Linked DNA regions of Diceros bicornis minor. The protein of the gene in region 2 interacts with the protein of the main gene of each other region in a biochemical or structural test. Links are inferred from orthologs where the notes say so. Each region holds a gene or a part of one and is shown on either strand. Other genes may lie near its edges.

Region 1 (10,064 bases), on a different chromosome or scaffold from region 2:
AACAGTGGCGGATAAAGGGATGTGCATAAACCTTTACAGCATTTTACTAAAAGAACATGTTCAAGCTATTGTAAAAGACTATTTTCATTACAGACTATTTTCATTACAGTCTGTATAAAGTGAGTGGGTAATTCTCCATAATCTAGCATTCCTAATAAAAAGAAGTCAATCCTAACTGTCATCAGAAAACTACCATTTGGTTTTTAAAGAGCACACAGTACAAAGAAAACCTAATAAGGTCATTCCTTGACGACTAGAATAGGAAAAAAGTCTGAAGCACTGTTTCTGATTCATCTTCAACAGAGTAAGCAGACAGTGGTTAAAACAACTCTGTGTGGTAGGACATCGTAAGAAGGGAAAAAATAACCTGAAGGTGAACTCTATTAGTAAATTTGATCCTTCTTCAGTTGTACAAATGGTTTGCTGATGGTAACTCTGGCTATGAAACGACTGCCTAATGGTACTACAGCACATTTGGAAAAAAATAACTAATAGTATTCCTTACATAAGGAATATTAATTAGTTGAAATATATATATAAAATTTTCAAAAATAACAATGACTAAGAGGCACCTTCTCTCCTCCATCTCTCTGTGCACAGCTCTGCTCTCTCCCTAAGCAGAAATCCTACCCAGGCAAGGACTCTCTCTCTGAACTGAAGGAGCCACTAAAACGGAAAATGCCACTGTTTTCTTAGTGACACTGATCTTCTGTTCCTAAGACTCCATTCCAAGGCCAAAGAGCTCAGCTCGAATCACTTGGAGACTGAAGTGAAGGGTCCCTCTTCCCAGTAGGGAGGCAGAAGAGCACCTCCACTCTAAAGTTTAAACTCATGAAATCCACGGGTCAAGGTTTAATGTGATAAGACATCAACATAACATGGCACATCTGATCAGGCTCTCACACCCAAAGGAATGACTGACAAGCCAGACTCAAGTTCTAACACACTCAGAATGAATTTCCCTTCAAACAGCATGTCAAATTTCTCTCCAGTTAATTCAGGACTGAAAATACCATAGAGGGTTCTAAACTCCTACTCTCTTTAAACAAATTCAATCACTACTAATATACTTTCTAGGGGATGTTCAAGGCAGCTAGCTGTGTGTAAAACTAAGATTTTTATGAGCTTTCATTACTTACTTAAATTGGAATGACCACCCACTGCTCTTTTTTTTTTTTGTGAGGAAGCTCAGCCCTGAGCTAACATCCATGCCAGTCCTCCTCTTTTTGCTGAGAAAGACCTGCCCTGAGCTAACATCTATTGCCAATCCTCCTCCTTTTTTTCCCTTTTTCTCCCCAAGGCCCCAGTAGATAGTTGTATGTCATAGTTGCACATCCTTCTAGTTGCTGTACGTGGGATGCCGCCTCAGCATGGGTGGACAAGCAGTGTGTTGGTGCTCGCCCGGGATCCGAACCCGAGAGTGGCGGAGCGCGCGCAATTAACTGCTAAGCCACGGGGCCCGCCCCCAGCCACTACTCTTAAAGTCTTCCCTTGAAACAAGAGTTGTTAGTAAAGGCGGCTCATGAGGTTAGCTCATAGGAGGACCCATGACTGAGGAAAAGTACTACCAAGCTTAATATCAATCACTCAACAAACGCGTGCTGAGGCCCTGAGATGTGTATGGGACTCTGAGCAGAACCCCTCCCTGTCTCCCAGGGTTTACAGTCTAGTTGGCAAGACATGACCTAAACTAGTATGTGACTATGTGCTAAAAATAAATAGCACAGACAATATATTTCCTAAATATTTGACAAAGGAGATTCTGATTGCTGTGGGCTAGGGTGGTCAGACGCTTGCTTTAGAGAGGACGATGAGCTGAACCTAAGAATGGCAGGATTCAGAAAGGTGGGGAGGAAGGTCCTGCAGGCAGCCTTTCTGTTTATGAAATATTTTCACATCCACATTCATTTCTTGTAAGAATCCTTGTGGATAAGAAGCCAAACACATCCTCAGTTTACAGACGAGAAAAGTGAGAACAAGACGACTTGACTAGTTGATACAATAAGCAATGAAATGTCCAGCAGCCCAGGCCAGTGTGGGAGAGAATAAGGAAAATTCAACCACAGCACAGGACCCGTGGGCGACATAGCACCGAGAGAGGAAAAAGAAAGAGACTGAGCGCCTAGGGACTACTTAGGAAAGTGTTCCGCGACAGCCCAGGTGAGAAGGAAGAAAGGCATGAATTAGAAATGCACAGAAGAAATTAGACTGGTAACATTCGCTTTAAAATGTAATTACCAAGAAAACAACGACAAAAAAAACTTTACGGTCTCCCTTTTATAAGTCAGTTTCAGGGAGGAAAACCTCTAACCAACAAATCTCCCGAATATCTACTGGGAACCCAAAGGGCTTAATAATTTACCAACAAACTCTCTAATACCATCAGAGATTTTAAACAGCTTTATAGATTAAAACTGGAATTATCAACAATATCGTTGGAATCACAAGTTCACAAATTTCAGGGTTGCCTAAACAAGTAATACTCCTATACAATTTAACGAGCAGTACTATGCCTTTTACTAAGTTTTCTGAAGATTTTTGGATTTTTCTATTCACAACAGTTTGATGTGGTCAACTGAAGGCCGACTTATTCCCACACGTAAGCCCCGACCCTGCAAAGAGCAAGGACCCAACAAACCTTTGCAGAATAAACGAGGCCACTATCCAGGCAACTCTGCTCCAAAGTAAAGTTCCCAAAATTTCGGAATCAAGTCTGGAAGAAAAACCTTTCCACTACCGTTCACCAGCCTTCCCAGCCGAGGCCTCAACGTCCCGTCCTCCCACCGCGCCCTCCCCGCAGATGACAACCGCTCCGGCCCGCCCGGGCAGCTCCCCCGAGCCCGGCGCAGGAGCGGCGGGCGCTGAGTCTCGCGGCGGCGGGGCAGCGCCGGGAAGGGGCTGCTCGCGCGCCCTACTCACCGCGACGGGGCGGCCGTGCTCTGGGCCGTCGGCGGCGTCGAGGCGCGGGGCCGGGGCGGGCGCCGGGGCCGGGGCGGGCGGCTGCCGGTGCTTGCCGGCGCGCTTGGCCTTGGCCTGGATGCAGCGCTGGTGCAGGGCGAAGGTGTGCTGGCGCTCGAGCTCCAAGCGCTCGGGCGACACGGCCTCGTAGCGGGCCTCGCAGGTGCTGTGGTGGCGCCGGCACAGCTCGATGCGCCGGCGGAGGCGCTCCATGACCGCGCTGTGCCGCGGCAGCGCGAACTCCGCCATGGGGCAGGTGGGCAGCACCATGGGCCGCGGGCTGCTCGGGCCGGGCCCGGGGCGGGCCTCTCGGGGCCGGCTGGCACTGCGGGCTCCGCTCCCGCCGGCGGCCCGGCCGCCTCACGGCCGCGCCATGGCCCCGCGGGCTGCGGAGCGGGATAGCGCGCGGTAGCGGGTCTTCCTGCGGCCCCGCTCGGCCCTACCCGGGCCGGCGCTCGCTGCCTACCTCAGGCCGCGGCCTGTCCCCGCCGCCCCGGCCCCATTGTTTTCCGCGCCGCCGCCGCCGCCATCTTAAAATTGTTTTCGGGGCTCTCGGAAGAGGGCGGGGCCCGGCGGCGATCCTTGCGTCACGGCTGACGAGCAGGGACTGCGGCCAATCAGAGGAGAAAAGCGGGCCGCCGAGGGACGGCGCCGAGCACGCAAGAGGCGCGGGGGCTCCCGAGCGCAGTTTAAAAGGAACCCTCAAGAGAGGGGCGGAGGGAAGCCCTGGGCGGGCCTCAATTCTGGGCGTCGGGCCGAGGATGACCGACCCGAGCAGGTCCTAAACGCCGCCCCCGCGGGCAGGCCCTTCCGGGTCCAAGGAAAGCCGGACAGTCGGCGCGGTGGAACCGGCTGGACGCAGACGCCCGCCTGAAAGCACAGCGCTTCACCATTTTCTTCGGCAGCCTCTTGAATTCGGCTTTGCTAAGCTCAAAAGTAGCCACGCTCTTCAATGTCAGCTGCTTTTCTTCGACCTCATTCCTTACACCCAGCCTCGTAATGGGTCAGAATAAGTGAACTGGAAGACCTTTCCTCTTGCACCATTCTGAATCACTGGGACTATTTCCATTTACATAAAAGTTTGAACAAGTTTCAAAAATTTAGAATTACTTTAAAAAAAAAAAAAAAAGCCCCAGCAGACGTGAGGGAGGAGGGTGTGGAAAGCCTAGCTCCATTAGTGAGGACTAGAACTGCAAAGGATGATGCGCCAGTCAAAAACGGGAAGCCTGGACTGCAAGCTTTACATGTAAAAGATGACCGATCTGTTAGGTAAAATTGAGTCACTCAACAAAATCCAACCAAAGACAATTAACCTCTAGTATTTATAACTAGTAGGCAAAGGGAGTAGGACACTGTAAGGGAAAAAACAGGAGCAAAGAAAGAGGTAGTACTAAAACTAGATAGTCTGCGTTGGCCCAAGAGATACTAGGAACAGGTAGGTATTGGCACCCTAATTGCTAAAAAGTTAAAACACAAGGTGTCAGGAGGATGCACATGAGAGGCACCATCAACAGCTCTCACATTTGTTACAGTTTTTACTAGGACCCACGAAAATGTTTATTTTAAAATCAGAAGAAAAAAATGAGTTCTTATTCAAATAGTGTCTTTACACAAATGCAGTAAAAAAATACAAGCGGCGCACCAAGGCAAAATTTGCCTCGAGTTCGTGAATGCTATGTGGTCCTGCTTTTTACCAGTCTTCAAACATACAAATTTGACACCAGCATTAAATAATTTCTTTTCCAATAGGAAACAAAATAGTAACTAGGAGCACTATATTTTGTATATTTCTCTTCAGTAGGCAATCCAAAAGCCTAGTAACGCAGAAAAAAATTAGTTTTGGCCTAACTCTCAAAAACATCCCTGAAATATGTAAGAACATGTAAAAGACGGACTCTGATTCTGAACAAAGATTTTCAAATAAAAATTTAAAAGTTCAATGGTTCCCAAAAATCTTAAAGAATATTATTTACAAACTCCCTTTCTGAGCTGCTACCCTCTTAAAAAACAGAAACTATTGAACCCTAATTGAGCAGGAAAAGGAGGCAAACCTATACTGAACTGATTGGATCAAATGCATGTGCTGAGATGTAGTAATTATTCCACTGCTGATAATACTGTTGGCCCTCCTTAAGCTCGAGTTCTGCATCCAGGGATACTGACTTGAGCATCCACGGATTTTGGTATTGGGGAGGGGCCTGGAACCAAACCCTGCAGATACCAAGGGAGGGCTGTAGTTTCTGCATATTAGCAAACTCTCAACTAGTAGGAACATTAACCCACTTTTGAAACAGTAAAACAAGCTAATTGAAGGTTACCATGAAGAAGTTCAGTCAAAAGCAGACGCTTAACGCAGGGCTTTAATGTAACACCATTTAGTAACATGACAATTTGAGAAAAGAGAAGAGTATTTTGTGGATAAGAGTAACTGAGGAACACATCTGATAGAGTGGGCGTTTTACAACAATGGGACAGATAACCAGCATGTAAAATCATAATGTAAGTACCTATTAAAGAGCTGAAAATTGCTGCTGGTCATTCACTAATGTGTAAAACATTTAATGAGAAAGCTGCACCTTCAACAAAGAGAGCAAAAAAGAGAACCAAGTTTTTTTTTTTTTTTTGGACAAACTTTGCTAAACCACCCTGGAAAGGCAAATGAACACTCTACTGATTTACATTTGTCATTCCATAGCTCAGCTGGAAGAAACTGTAAGTGAGGCATGAAATAATGGCAACAAAGAGTGAAGACGGCAGATTTCTGGAAATGCAATGATCCCACACATTTGCTTCAAGGAGAAACCTGCAGACATATTTTCAGGTCTTGCTAAGTAACTGTTTATTTGCACTCAATACATTTGGGAAAGTGTGCTACATAGCTAAGGTCACTGTGACCACAGAACAGATGAAAAGGAGAAAGCACTGAACAGCAAGAAAAATGCATCCCACCCTCATAAGAATTTAAGTGAACCAGTAAAAAACTGAAGATAAACAAAATAAACAGATACAGCCTTCATGTTTTATGAATATACTTCCTCCCCAATATCTCCCCAATATAAACACTCTGGAGTGTTTATATATTCAGTGCAAGGAACAGTATGATCGGTACATTTGAAACACTTCTAAAGAAAGAATAAAGCTAAAACAACATCTAATTCTGAATACATTTCAGTGTGGTGTAATAATGATATTACACTAGAGCGATGGGGGAGAGGCTCTGATAGCACCCATCTGCATTCCACATGAAAAAACAAACCTAAGATCACTTTTTAAAAATTCTACAAAGCAGATAAAAAAAAAGTTTCTTTTTGAACAGGACTGCTTTATCATGTAATTTTAGATGCAAGTGCTACATGAACTGCAAATGAAGACTTAAAAGGCTTAGCAGCTACAAAAATCAGATAACTCATGCTATATGTCACTCCTCCCATAAATACTTTTAGCCTGGGTTCAATTAGTCAATTCTGAATTGGCTCGCCTCTGGATTAGACTTCTAAAGTCTTTACACAGAGTAAAAGAAATGGATACAAATGAAAGATAGTATTTTATCCTGTACTTTGACCCTGAAAAGGTGTGGGTCTGCTTAAAAAAGAAGAAATATACACACAATCACAATAAAGCTTAATACTATGCAGAGCTTATAATCATTTTCAGCAATGGACTGCAAGCTGCGCTGTGAAGAAAACGCATAGCAGAGGAGAAAGCTGGAAACTTGAGGAAATAGGGAAGGAAAACAGTGTCAACACAGTGGAAGAAGCAATGAAACATCTGCATCTCTGGGGCTCACAGGCCCCAGTAGCGTTCCTTATAGAGCCACCTGCTCGAGAAGGCTGGAGCCCAGACACGCCCGGGGTGTGAAGTATGAATGCCCAAGTGCCACATTATGCCACCTCCTCCTCTAATTGCAAAGCCGTCTGGGAACTCAGCGGTTCCAAGGGCAACAGAACACACACACTTTATGGTCTAACCAACATCAAGTGAAAAGATTTTTTCTCTTTGTATATCTATTTTTAATACAACTTAAACAGAACTTCTATATAAATTTGGGCTTCCATCCAATCCCTCTCCTCAATTTCTTTAGGAGGAATTGAGTAACGGAAGCAAGCAAAACAAGATTATAACCGCAAGTGATGGCACTTTAAACATGATTATCGATTTTAAGGGACAGAGACACTTGAATGTTTTGTAATACCAAACTTAAAAAAACAAAACCAGTTATAAAAACTGCAATTTCATCTCCCTAGCATTTCTAAAGGTGGTGTTATTTCTGCAAGGACAAATTAATATATTAAATTAAGCCAAGATTTTAAACACTGGCAAAGTTCTATCACTCTATCTTAAAAACAAAGATGTTTAAAAACAAAAAAATACATGTTAGTTGCCTCATGTTACATTTCACAACCATTATGTTAGATGCTTTCTTTCTACAAAAACAGGGTCCTTTATGTCACAACTGCAATTATTTACTGCTAGATGTTTAAAATTACAGGGGCTAGTGTTCAACTGGAACCTGTTGATGGTTGACGTCTAGAGGATTTCTGAATTTCAACCTAAGGTGTGCCAGGTCCTCTCCTGGGACCACACTTGCGGGGGGCTGGGGAGGGGGAGAGGAAATCACAGATCAAGTTCTTAAGATTGTTTCACTCTCTTCGTGGCTTTCTGTTTCTTGGTGATCTGTTCAAAATTTCATCCTCCTGTTGGTTGAAAAAACAAGAAATTCACTATAATTAGCATGTTAAAAAAAAGTAAAAGTTCACCAACTTGTCAAGATCAGCCAGGCTGAGGGTAAGCCATCTGAGGAAGAAAACGAGAAGAAAAATGATTAGAAGAAAATGCACCAAAACCAATGATTGTCTCAGAGGTAGTGGGATTATGTGTGTTCTAATTTAGTCTTTTTTGTTTTCCATAAACATGCACTTTTCTCAATCTAACCCATAAACATTTTCTTTAAAAACGACCAGACACCATGCTTTCACATATCCTCCTTAATCCTGAATAATCTACTGGCCTGTGGGCACATCACCCCCATTTTGAGGCTGAGAAAGCTAGGATTCATGGGGACTGAAGACTAAGCCGAATCCCATAGAACACTCAAGACCACAAGCCCAGTGCTCTTTCTACTCTACATATCGACTTCTTATTGTGCAAGCAATTTTGGGGAATATAAAAAAGTATGTGAGACTGGCCCCTACCTGAAAGAACTCTGCGTTCTGGTTAAGACAAAATATATCCATTGAAAATATAAACAGCATTGACTTTCATCAATAGGAGGGCAGAGTTGTGGTAGCTGGAAATGCAAACTGGGTAGTTTTCCAGGAAGGAACAGAATGAAATAGAGAAGTGCTTGAAAAAGGGACGTTGGTGAGAAAGGTGCAGACTATTCTTTCTCTCATACCTCATATCCAATCCACCAGAAACCCCAGATCCAGAAGTCCAAAATGACTTCTCACACCCTCCTCTCCTATCACCCTGCTCAGGGCCACCATGGATTATTATAGCAGTCTCCTAGCTCGTCTCCTTCATTCTCTCTGGTCTATAGAAAACACAGCAGCCAGAGTAATCAGACCCAGCCACTCCTGTGCAACCACTGCAAGGGCTGCCGACTTCACTAAGAGGGAAAGCCAAGCCCATAACAGCCCAGGAGGCCCCACCTAATCTGGAGCCTTCCTCACCCTCCTTTTCTCCACCCTCTTGCTCTACTGCCACACTGGCCCTCTATCTTGTGTGTTTGTGTGTGTGTGTGTGTGTGTGTGAGGAAGATCAGCCCTGAGGTAACATCCGATGCCAATCCTCCTCTTTTTGCTGAGACAGATTGGCCCTGGGCTAACATCCGTGCCCATCTTCCTCTACTTTAGATGGGACGCCTGCCACAGCACGGCTTGACAAGCAGTGTGTCGGTGCGCGCCGGGGATCCAAACCTGCGAACTCTCGGGCTGCCTCAGCGGAGCGCACACTTAACCACTGCGCCACCGGGCCAGCCGCCACACTGGCCCTCTAGACTACCACTTTAGGCCCCTGGACTGGCTGTTTTCTCTGCCAGGAATGCTCTTCCCATAGGCATCTCTACCTTTATCTCTTTCAAGTCTTTGCTCAAATGTCACCTACTCAGTGAGGCCTACCATCTTTTTTTTTCCTTTTTGCTGAGGAAGATTCCCCCTGAGCTAACATCTGTGGCTATCTTCCTCTATTTTGTATGTGGGTCGCTGGAGTAGTGTAGGTCCGTGCCCAGAAACCGAACCTGGGCCACCAAAGTGGAGTGCACCGAACTTAACCACTGAGCCACGGGGCCGGCCCCGAGGCCTACCATCTTTAACATTGCAACCCACCCCACCTCCAGCACTTTCAATACCTTTTCTCGTCCTACTTTTATTATTCCTGGCCCATCACTTTCTAACATACTACTTACTTCCTTATAATATCTACTGCTTATTGTCTGTTTCTTCCCACTAGAATTTAAGCTCCTCAAAGGCAAGACATCTTTGTCTTGTTCACTGATAATGCTTGGCACATAATGGGCTCTCCACAAATATTTACTGAATGAATGAATCCACGAGCAACAGGGACAAAAATTTTAGAATGCAGTGATTTGTGCAAGAAATACTTTTTAAGGGCACAGTGAGGAGAGAAAGATGATGAGACAGAACTGCAAACTAATAATCTGAAGTTCCCATCTTAAAAAGCATTTTATTAGTTTTCCCCTATGACCTTCTGCTTATTCCAGAAAACCATTTTTAGCACACAAAAATACTTCTGAGGTTCAGATGTAATTTGAAACTATAAAATGTTGACCTGTATTGCTAAGAATTCCACTTTTACAAAATTGGCTTTAATAGAATTTTTACCACCACAGCCACTGAAAATTACCCTAAGAAAATACTCCTTCTACTTAAATGTACCTTCAACTTAGTTGCTTGAAATACAAAATGTACTCCCCCCCTTTCTATTACCTCTGCTTTAGGTTTTCTATCTTCCTCCTCTTGACTGACTGTGCCACCATCGTCTTCAGCATCACTTTTTTGCTTCTCTTCTAAGACAGAAAGTCAAAGTGAAACAACTAAGCAAGAACCTGCTTTTAAGAGTTTGAAACAACATCTTAGGGTCTTGGC
Region 2 (9,597 bases):
GCGCAAGCAGGAAGCACGGGCCCAAGGAGCAGAGGGAGCCGGGGCGCTACCCGGAGTGGCCACAACACCCCCAAACTGTACTGCGAGTGGGGACCCGAGCCTCTCCACAGCCGGGCCTGGCTGGGGCCCGTCCCTGCTCTGGTCCCCAGCCCCCACACGGTGCCGCCCAGAGGTGGGGCCTCTGAGGACTGCGCTTCCGTTCCATCTTCCAAGTGGATCTGTGGGGTGTGCACAATGGGGTCTCTGTGGGCCGAGCTCGGCTGAGTGCCAGACCAGACTGAGGCAGGCTTCCCGCCAAGGAGGAGGGGGCACCAGGCCCCAGGGAGGAGACAAGGCCGGCACCCCAGCCCTGGTCCACGGCCTGGCAGAACCCTCAAGTAGCCCAGGTTTTGGGGGTGGGAGAGCACACTGAACCATTGCTCTGTCCCCCTGAAGGGCCTTACCCTGACGCTGGGCCGGGGGGGCCCTGCAACAGCCTGTACCCCAAGGCATCCCCTTTCTGGCCCAGGTGGCATGTAGTGCGGGCTTTGGCCCAGGGAGACCCCAGCGTCCTCTGGGCCAGGCTGTCCTTCCTCCCTGGTGGCACTGAGAAGGGACTGCTCCCTCTTGCCCCAGCACAGCTCTCCTTCCTGCCTCCCACAGCCTCTGCAGAAGCATGGAGACTCTCACCTGCCCCCCAGGGGCGAGGGGCAACGTCGGAGCTGGAGTGCGCCGTGGCGGGTGGGGAAGGGAGTCATGCATTCTGGGAAGCCACGCATAATTAATCAGACAGCATTAATCCGCCTCCCCCAACAATAGCCACTGCACTTCCACTGAATCCCAGCTGTCGGTCTCTGAATGAAAGGAAACAAGATTTAGGGCATCAAGCGTCGGTGAGGCTTCTGCAGGAGAAGAAAAAGGCCCCAAAAACGCAAAAAAAAAAAAAAAAAGTAGTGTGCATTCATTAGTGTTTCACAAAGACACAATCCGCTTTGTCCACTAAACTGCTCACAGACCTGCTTAATTGGCTTCAGTGTGGGGTAGGGGTGGGGGGCAGCAGAAGGAGGGGGTTGCTTGCCCGCTGGCTGGGCAGGCAATGAGCCTGGGCTGGGGGTTGTCAAGGGAATGGGCCCTCAGCAGTTGGAATGAGGGCGCGCCGACCCGGCTGGGGAGCCACTTCTTCCTCTGCAGCCTCCGGGGCCGGGGGGAGGGGGGGACCTTTCTCCAGCCACCAAGCACCTCCTCATTATTCCCATCAGGAACAAACTCAAGTTGAAGGGCACCAGGCACAGCAGAAAAACTTCCCTGAGGCTGACTGGTACTCACGGGCAGGTGGGCAGCGATTCTAAACCGATTCCCTGCCCGAGTCAGGGCGAACCAGGCACGCACCCCCCTTTTCACAGCTGAAGACCCAAGGCTGGGAGGGTGAAGGGCCAGGTGGTTAGGGAGTTGGAGGTGCAGATGCCAGGACGGGAAACAAAGTTCTGGCAGGTACTCCCATCCCCACAACCCAGGGAGGTCAGCGCCACCAACAAGACGAGTTCCAACTTTTCTCCCCAACCTCACCTGAGGCCAGAGGGGAGTGAGCTGGGGAAGGCAGAGCGCTGAGAAGGGTGGGTTTGACTTTGAAACAGCTAATTCCTTGCTAAGAAGCATTGCCTGCCTGGAAGAGGCATCACCTGCCGGAGGAGAGGCTCACCTGCCTGGAGGAGGCATCACCTGCCCGGGGGGGGGGGGAGATGCTCACCTGCCCGGGGGAGATGCTCACCTGCCCGGAGGAGGCATCACCTGCCAGGGGGAGATGCTCATCTGCCCGGGGGAGGCATCACCTGCCAGGGGGAGATGCTCATCTGCCTGGGGAAGATGCTCACCTGCCCGGAGGAGGCATCACCTGCCAGGGGGAGATGCTCATCTGCCCGGGGGAGGCATCACCTGCCAGGGGGAGATGCTCATCTGCCTGGGGAAGATGCTCACCTGCCCGGAGGAGGCATCACTTGCCCGGGGGAGATGCTCACCTGCCCGGAGGAGGCATCACTTGCCCGGGGGAGAAGCTCACCTGCCCAAGAGAGATGGAGAGATGCTCCCCAGCTGGCAGGGTGGTGGGGGCTGGGCTCCTCTACAAATGCTCCAGAGCCTTCCTGGCAGCTCAGTTGTTTCTCAGGGACTTAGGAAGAAATGGGTTACCAGGAATTCTCACCTAGCCCCCCAGGAGCCCAAGGGGGCCCACAAAAAAGTGCTCAAACCTCCAGTGGCCAGACCAGCTCCACACGCAGCATAATTGCTGGTGATTAAGTAATTGCCAGACTTTGTCCAATAAAAGTAGCACGTGACTGCGCCCAGCCTTCTGGGCCATCTCCAGAAGACAATGGCCTAGTGTTCTGTCCCTGCCGGCCGCCACAGAAGGCAGGGGCTCTGCTCCCGACAAAAGCAACAGGTCCCCGCAGGGGCGTACTCACACGCAGGCTTCAGTGCCGTTGGCAAGCACTTCACACTTCCCGCCATTCAAGCAGCTCTCGCCGGGGTGGGAGCATTGCAGGCCTGGGGAGGGGCGAGAGGAGAGGTCAGCCCTCAGCTCCGGGAAGGGCCCACCCCCAGGGCACCGCCCACCCCTCACCATGCAGGCTCTGCCCTGTCCTGGGGTTGCTTGGGCCCCGGGGCCCCAGGAAGCCCCGGCCTGAACCCCAAGGCTTCAATACTCTGCCCAGAGTTCTGTAGTCAGAAATGGACTGCAGAGGAGGAACAGGCTGGCTGGGTGGCAGGTAGACGGGTCATGCTCAAAATGGGGTGAGGTGGCCTGAAATGCCCCCTGGACAGCAGTGGAGAAAAGCTGAGATGATCCTGGGCCATTCTCCCAAACTCCGCGCCCCCCCACCCCGTCTTCACTGGGGAGCTGGGCTGGGCTGGGGCCCCTATCCAGCCACCGGGATTGTCTTGCTGTTCAAACACGTTCTGCGAGGGGGCAGTGCTGGGGGGGGGTGGCCACACTCAGCTCCCCCGCTCGTGGGAAAATGCGACAGCTGCAAGGCCGGCCGCCCCGCCCGCCAACAAAGCGCTGGCCGGGGAATCAGAGCAGCCCATTGTCATGCCAGGGCCGCCTCCTGGGGCACCAGGACTGCACCCTGGGGACCTGGCCCTGCCTGCACAGACACCCAATACCTGCTCCTGCGGGCAGGCATCTTTAGGGGCAGCCCTCTGCCACACCCAGGGGAGGGGGATGAAAACGCCCCATTTGGAAGGAATTCGACCCCATCCCCAAGAAAGGATCAATTAATCAAGCCCCTCCTCCCCATCTTACCAGGGCTGTGTAAATTAAGCCCCTCACCGGGGCAGGGACCGGGTGTGACATAGAACCCTACCTTCTGGAAATGGGAAACTAATTCTCACCTCCAACATTTTAAGGAAAGAGAAAAATTAATCACACTAGATTCCTCGCAGCCCCCTTCGACGGGAAGTGGAGAGAGGAATACGCGCCCCCTTGCCAAGTCCCACTCTCCACTTCTGTAAGATTTCCAAACTTGAACTCGACAAAGTGAAAGTCCCACCAGTTGCAGCGGAGTCTTCCGCACCCCCGCACTCCCCCGCAAACTGTCTGCAAGCCAGGATAGGGGGCGGCCATCCGGCGTGTGGGGGACACCGGCGGGCGGGGCGGCTAGGAGCCCAGGGATCCCTGGGTTCGCGCCCCTCGACCAGCCCTGCGCGATCTCTCGGAACGGGCAGGAGGCCGGGCCCGCCTCGCGCCCCGCTGCCCACCTTGCTCAGCAACCACGCCAGGCCGCGAACGCAGCGCCCCGGACCCCACACTGCGCGCCCCAACATCCGCTCCCGGCGCGGGCCAGAGGCGAAGAAAAAAGATAAATGGCCCCCAAAGCAACAGGAAACCAAAACCGACTCGATTCAAATCGAAAAATAGTAGGCAGTTCGCCCGCCCGCCCCGGCGGCGAGCCCCAGGAGCGGCTGGTGAAGGGCGAGCCCAGGGCTGGGCCTCCGGGGCCCCCAGCCTCCCACGCCGGGCTTCAAACCCGGCTCCAGGCGCGGGCAGCGCGAGTCCGCCCCGGCAGGGCAGGCGGCGCGGAGGAGGGTCAGTCCTTCTCTCCCAGCCCGGGACTCTGTACCCCCTTCCCCCGCTCCGGGGCGCCCGGCCCCCCTCCCCACCCTGGCCGCCTGTTCCCAGCCACCCGGAGCGCGCGCGTAGGGCGCCGCCAAAGTTTCCGAAGGCGCGGAAAGTTGCGGGTTCGCGGGCGCACGGGCGCCTACCTCGTGCGGCGAGCGCAGGCAGCAGCGCCAGGCAGAGCAGGGGCGCCAGGAGTGGCGGCATGCCTGCCCGCCGGCTGCCCGCTGCGCCCGGTGGCGGCCTCCTGCGCCGGGCCGGCGAGGCTCGGGCGCACACACGCGCGCGCCGGACGGTCTCACGGGCGGCAGCTGCCTGCTACTGCCCTCTCCTTCCTAGCTGGCGGGCGGCGCTGTGCTCTCGCGGCCTCCGGGCCCGGCTCCACGCCCCGACTCGTTCTTTCGCTGCGCTCGCGCCCGCGCCCCACGCCCCTGCACTCCCTCCCGCGGCCGAGGCACTAGTGAGGCGCAGGCGGCCGTGCGCTCCGCCCCCGCCCCGCCGGCCCCGCCTCCCGGGGCCCCGCCCCCGCCGATCCCTCCGCACCCCTCGCCCTTTCGCTGGCCGCGCCCCTCCGCACGCTCCGACCAGCCCTGCGCCTCTTCGGGCTGGGGCGCGCGTCCGGAGCCCGGGTCCTCCGGCGTTGGGGGCCGCGGCGGTGCGGAGGGCTTCGGGGGCCGGCCTTGGGGACTACTTCTTGTTGGAAAGTTTTCAGGGGCCAAAAGTTTGGTCCGAGACTGCGGAAGGATCCGGCTCTGGCTGCTGCCGCGTCCGGCGACAATAGCAAAGATTTGCATCTCAATAGCAGAAGAGGCGCGGGCGGAGTGGGGAAAGGAGAGCCTGTGGGGGGCCGTGCGCCACCGGGACCTGGGCCCAGGGAGGTGGGGAGGAGCGACCGAGGCCAAGTTTGGGGGGACCCCGGGCTCAGGAGAGGGGCTCTGGAAGCAGCCCCGCCCTCGGCAGCCGTGGGTGCGCCCCTCGCCCAGGGGCTCCACTGCCAGGAGCCCCACGGTCGCAGCTTTAAGCCTCCGGGAGACCGAGGCCAGACACCCCTGGCTGTGACGTCCCGGGCACTTGACCTGAGATATGGTGGCGCTGCAGCCGCAGCCTCTGGAAAGGGGCTCTGGGTACCCCAAGGAACAGCTTGGAGCCAACACCTGGCCGGACGGATTGCGCACCCGCTCCTCAGGAGGGACCTGCCTCTAGATGCTCCTTGGTCACTATCGTGCCCCTTCTGGCGCCTCCCGCCTAACGTGCCCCGCAAAGCGCGCGCTGGTCAGGTAGACCCGCCGCGAGCGCCGGTGCTGCCCAGGGCCCCCCCAAGTGCTCCTTCCAGGTGATTTGTTTCTCCGCCGCAGTACCAGATTTGGGCATCCTGTGCCAAGCCAGGTTAAGCTCTGGACGTCCAAAACGCCTGCCATAGTCCCTACGAAATCAAAGTTCAGGGCCTTGCACTGGAGACAGACAGCCCCCCACCATCCCAACACAGGGTGGTGAGCGGGATGGCAGAAGGTACACCCACCCAGCCCTGGCATCCTGGTGGCCTTCCTGGAGTAGGTGATGCCAGAGGGGAGCCTTAAAGGCTGCAAGGGACTTAGCTGGGTGAAGGGCATGGGGCACAAGCACCCACAGGACTGCAGAAATCCCAGAGGCGGGCAGAGAAGCAGTCCTTGCCATGGAGGTCCAGAGAGGCGGGCAAGAGTGGGGTGCCTCGTGGTGGGCAGATTGCACACCTGACCCCAGCCCGCCCTTCTTGGCACACCTGTTGCTGGACGCTAGTGGCAGCTGAGATGCTGTTGTGAGCACAGGCAGTCCAGGCCGCGGCAGCTGCTCCTGGGAGCCTCCCTCGCTGCCTCGTCCCAGAAGCTGGCGGCACTTCTCAGAGCCTGGGCTAACTTCTCTCGGGGTCAGTGCCCGGGAGAGGAGGCGCCTGGAGGCAGCAAAGATGTTTATATAACAGCAGCCCTGCAGCCTGAAGGAGCAGATTTTCCGTAGAAGGAAGAGGGGTGCTTCAAAGTCCCTCCCCTGCCCCCCCTCCGCCAGCTCACAGATGCTGGCTCTGTGAGCCACATCCCCCTCTACTTCAAGGGATGGACCGAAGGCCTTAGGCAGGGCGCTCCTCAGAGAGCGGCTCCCTATGTGCCCTCCGTTAGAGCCCTCTGTCTCTGCCAATAGGCCCCAGGCCAGACGTAAAGGCCCGTCCAGCCCTGGCTTTGGAGGAAGTTCTCACCCTTCTGCCAAGGAGCAGCAATAGAGGAGGGGGAGAGGGAGGAGGGCAGTCTTACCTGGGTCTGCCCAGTGTACCAGCTCTACTCTGGTGTCCCCCCAGGAGCCGGGCGCTCTCGTTATTAGCCTGTGCTACAGACGGGGCAAGCAGACACACAGGCCTCCAACTCCTGTGCCCCTGGCCACCTGGGGTACCCCCTGGGCAACAGGGGCCGAGGAGACCCCAGGAAAGCCAGAAGTGGCTGGGGCTGGGGAGGGCTTGTGTGTGAGGCCCAGGACGGTCCTGGGCTGGGCCTCCCTCCCCTCCAGTTCTGGGAAGGGGGCAGACTGGACCATGGCAAGTGGTTGGGAAGCTTTTTCATTCACAAATTCGGCCAGAGATTTCCTGCCTCCCCTTCTCGTCCTTCTTTATCAACCTTCCGGGGTGGCGGGGGGGAGGTTGAGGGAGGGGAGGGAGGGGAGTCCTGATGGCCTAGGACCTGGAGACCCTCTCCCATGGGGCACAGCCTGGGAGCAGTTGCAGAAGTGAAGGAGAGACAGGAAGAGGAGGTGCATGTGGCCTGGCCACCCCACAAATCCCGTGGGGGGCAGGGGCTGGGACGCCATGAAGTGGAATTGGGGCACAGCAGTGTGAAGACATTTTGGGCCTCCTCTCCTGGCTTAGGGTGGGGGTCCAGACGAGGTTCGCAGGGCAGTCCCCTGCTGAGTGGAGATGCCCCAAGCTGCCTGGGGAACCTGGAACCAGTGGGGGGAAGCTGCAGGCCTGACTTGCAGGGGGTGACTTACTGCCACTTTCTTCTCCAGGGGCCACCTCAAGCTCCCCTGGGCCAGCTTGCTGGGCCCTGAAGGGGAGAAGGCCATCATGTTCCGTCTGCGCCCCGGGCAGACCGAGTCAGGGCAGCTCCCCTCTCTCCTGCCTCCAGAGATACCGGGGTGCCAGCATCAGGGTAGACTGAGGGGACCGTGCTGTCATTGGCCCATTCCTGCCCCCACAAGAAAACCCATCCCAGCCCCCTCCTGAGAGGGGAAGGGGTCAGCAGTGACGTGGTCTGCATGGCGCAGGGGGTGGTCAGCGTGTTGAGGCTCCCCAGGGTCCTCAGGTGCAGCCAGGGCTGAGAATCCAGGTCCTGGGGTACCGGTCACTTTCCTTCCTGCAGTGACGGTCTTGGTGCTTCAGGTGCACCCCTGTGACCCCTGAGCCCAGGGTGGGGTGGCATCATTCTCGCGATTTTTCTGAGACATTGAAATGAGACTGGCTTGGAGTCAGGCCAGGTTGGGGCCCTAGTCTTCAGCAGGCAGGTGGGCCCCCCGGAAGGGTGTGGTGGGCTGTCTCTGTACGTGACAGGGCTGGGCATACATGACAGGGCTGCCCTCCCTGCTGTCAAGTATTGTTCACAACGTGGGGGCAGCAGGTCAGACTTAGGGTACAGGCACAGGCCTGCTTGGTGTGGGCTACAGTGGCCCCAAACACCCCTCAGGGGGGTTGTCTGGGGGAAGGGCTTAGAAGCTGAGCTGAGGGTGTGGGGGGCCTGTGATGGGTGCACAGGCCTGACCTCAGTGGGAGGTGCCGGTGCTGGTGGGGGCAGCTGTGGGAAGATTCCAGAACACAAGGGGTAGGGCCCATCCCCCTTTGGAAGTTGATTGTAAAACATATCTGACCTTCTTACAAAGAGAGGGCCTGGGGGCCTGAGAAGTGTCCAGCCTCTTATCTTGCCCCTTGTCCACCACAGCCAGGCCCACCACTGAGCTCTGACCGGCTGGCCCATCGAGAGACCATCACTGCCCCCTGGGCCTCAGTTTCTCCCTCCACCAAGTGAGTTCTAAAGTCCTGCCTGCCTTTTTCCATGGAAAACCAACTTCTCCTAGAGGTTTGCGCACTTCTCCAGGACGTGGTTTTAGCAGCTGTGTGGCATTCATTGCTGCGGGTGGACAGGCCAGGGCTGGCTCCCCAGGCTCCGGTGCTGGACGCTTGGCTGTGAGCAGCGTGTCTCCATGTGGGGCATGGGGGGTGCCCACTAGCTCCTCGCTGCTCTTTCCTAAGGATGGATTCCGGCCCACCTTGGAGGGCTTCCCCCTCGTTCTGAGAAAGGAGGGGGTAGACTGGGGTCTAGAGTTTGCTTCTCTGCCTGCCCCTCACCCTCCACGCAGGGATCCACTGTCCCCAGGCCCAGGTGTGCACCCAGCTGTCTGCACTGGGAGCGGGCTGGCGGGGTCACCTGCAGGTGCTGGGCATCTCCCCCGGCCAGCTTCACCAGGCCTTACCGGGGAAGACCCCTTGTGCCCTGCACCCCAGGCAGGCTGCATCAGGTCAGTTCTCTGCTCTGCACGTCTTGTCCTCTGCTGAAATGACCCCTCCCTCCTCCAGAAAGCCATTCCAGAGCCCTTGGGCTTCCCCGCTCCCTGCATCCATCTCTGGCATTCCAGGGGGATGTGCGATCCCAGATGCAGGTGCCCCCCACTGATGCAGACTGACCCTTGACTAACGGCAGGCGCAGTGAATGCAGGACTCTGCACAGGGCCCCGCCCTGCGGGGGTTCCTGTCCACCTGCCACCCACAGCAGTCACTACTTGGGAGCCCTGAGGCCTCTCGGCAGCTTGGGGCCAGGGCACCAGTTGGTTGTGAGCCCCCCTGCTGCCCCCGGGGGCCCAGGAAGGAGGGTCTGCATCCTAGAGGCAGGCACAGAGGCTGGGGAGCATGTTGCCCGGGCAAGTCCCCTGACAGGCAGCCTGCCTCCCGGAGCAGGTGAGCTGTCTATCTTGGGTGGTATGGGCTCCGAGGGCTGCAGGACTGGCCCCTGAGGCCGATCTGGTACTTGTCATTTGAGAAATGGGCTTTGGGGCACCCAGGGCAGTGCAGGCTCTTACAGAGACCACCTGCCTGTCTTTTCCTGGCAGCTCAGGGCTGAGTTCACCTGCCTCTCCCCAGCAGGCCCTGGGCTGCTCAGAGCACAGACCCCAGGGGTGGGTGGCCCTGGACACTGTCTCCCAAGCCCTGAGAAGGAGGGGCCCCTCTCGGACCTCTCCAGGCCGCCAGATCCCCTCAGCTGCCCACAGAGCCTGGGCTGAGCTGGGCCTGGGTTGGGCCCCTTGAGGCTCAGTGGCTCTCCTCTGGGCACACCAGGGAGACAGGCAGCCTCGGAGGAGGAAAGGGCAGGCCTGGGACTCCAGGGCATCCTGTGTGATTGCAGGGGCTGCTGAGAAGCAGGCCGGCCCTGCCAAAATCAGAGGGCTGCATGGAGGAGGGACATCAGAGAGGTGGGCGCAGAGAAGGCTATCGGAGCTCAGAG

What was found.
Region 1: the proteins of NOTCH1 (region 2) and MAML1 form a complex in vitro, tested with the Homo sapiens proteins (2 studies listed by BioGRID). The link is inferred for Diceros bicornis minor from reciprocal best matches to the Homo sapiens genes NOTCH1 and MAML1.

Annotation. Positions count from the first base shown.
Region 1 is NC_080740.1:92,683,587-92,693,650, reverse strand, and holds the start of MAML1 (mastermind-like protein 1), read right to left. Parts: upstream 4,022-10,064; 5' UTR 3,229-4,021; coding exon 2,920-3,228; intron 1-2,919. Other genes in the region: CANX (calnexin), read right to left, coding at 7,599-7,652, 9,906-9,985. UniProt on the Homo sapiens protein: Acts as a transcriptional coactivator for NOTCH proteins. Has been shown to amplify NOTCH-induced transcription of HES1. Enhances phosphorylation and proteolytic turnover of the NOTCH intracellular domain in the nucleus through interaction with CDK8.
Region 2 is NC_080767.1:42,288,721-42,298,317, reverse strand, and holds the start of NOTCH1 (neurogenic locus notch homolog protein 1), read right to left. Parts: upstream 4,517-9,597; 5' UTR 4,295-4,516; coding exon 4,234-4,294; intron 2,518-4,233; coding exon 2,436-2,517; intron 1-2,435. UniProt on the Homo sapiens protein: Functions as a receptor for membrane-bound ligands Jagged-1 (JAG1), Jagged-2 (JAG2) and Delta-1 (DLL1) to regulate cell-fate determination.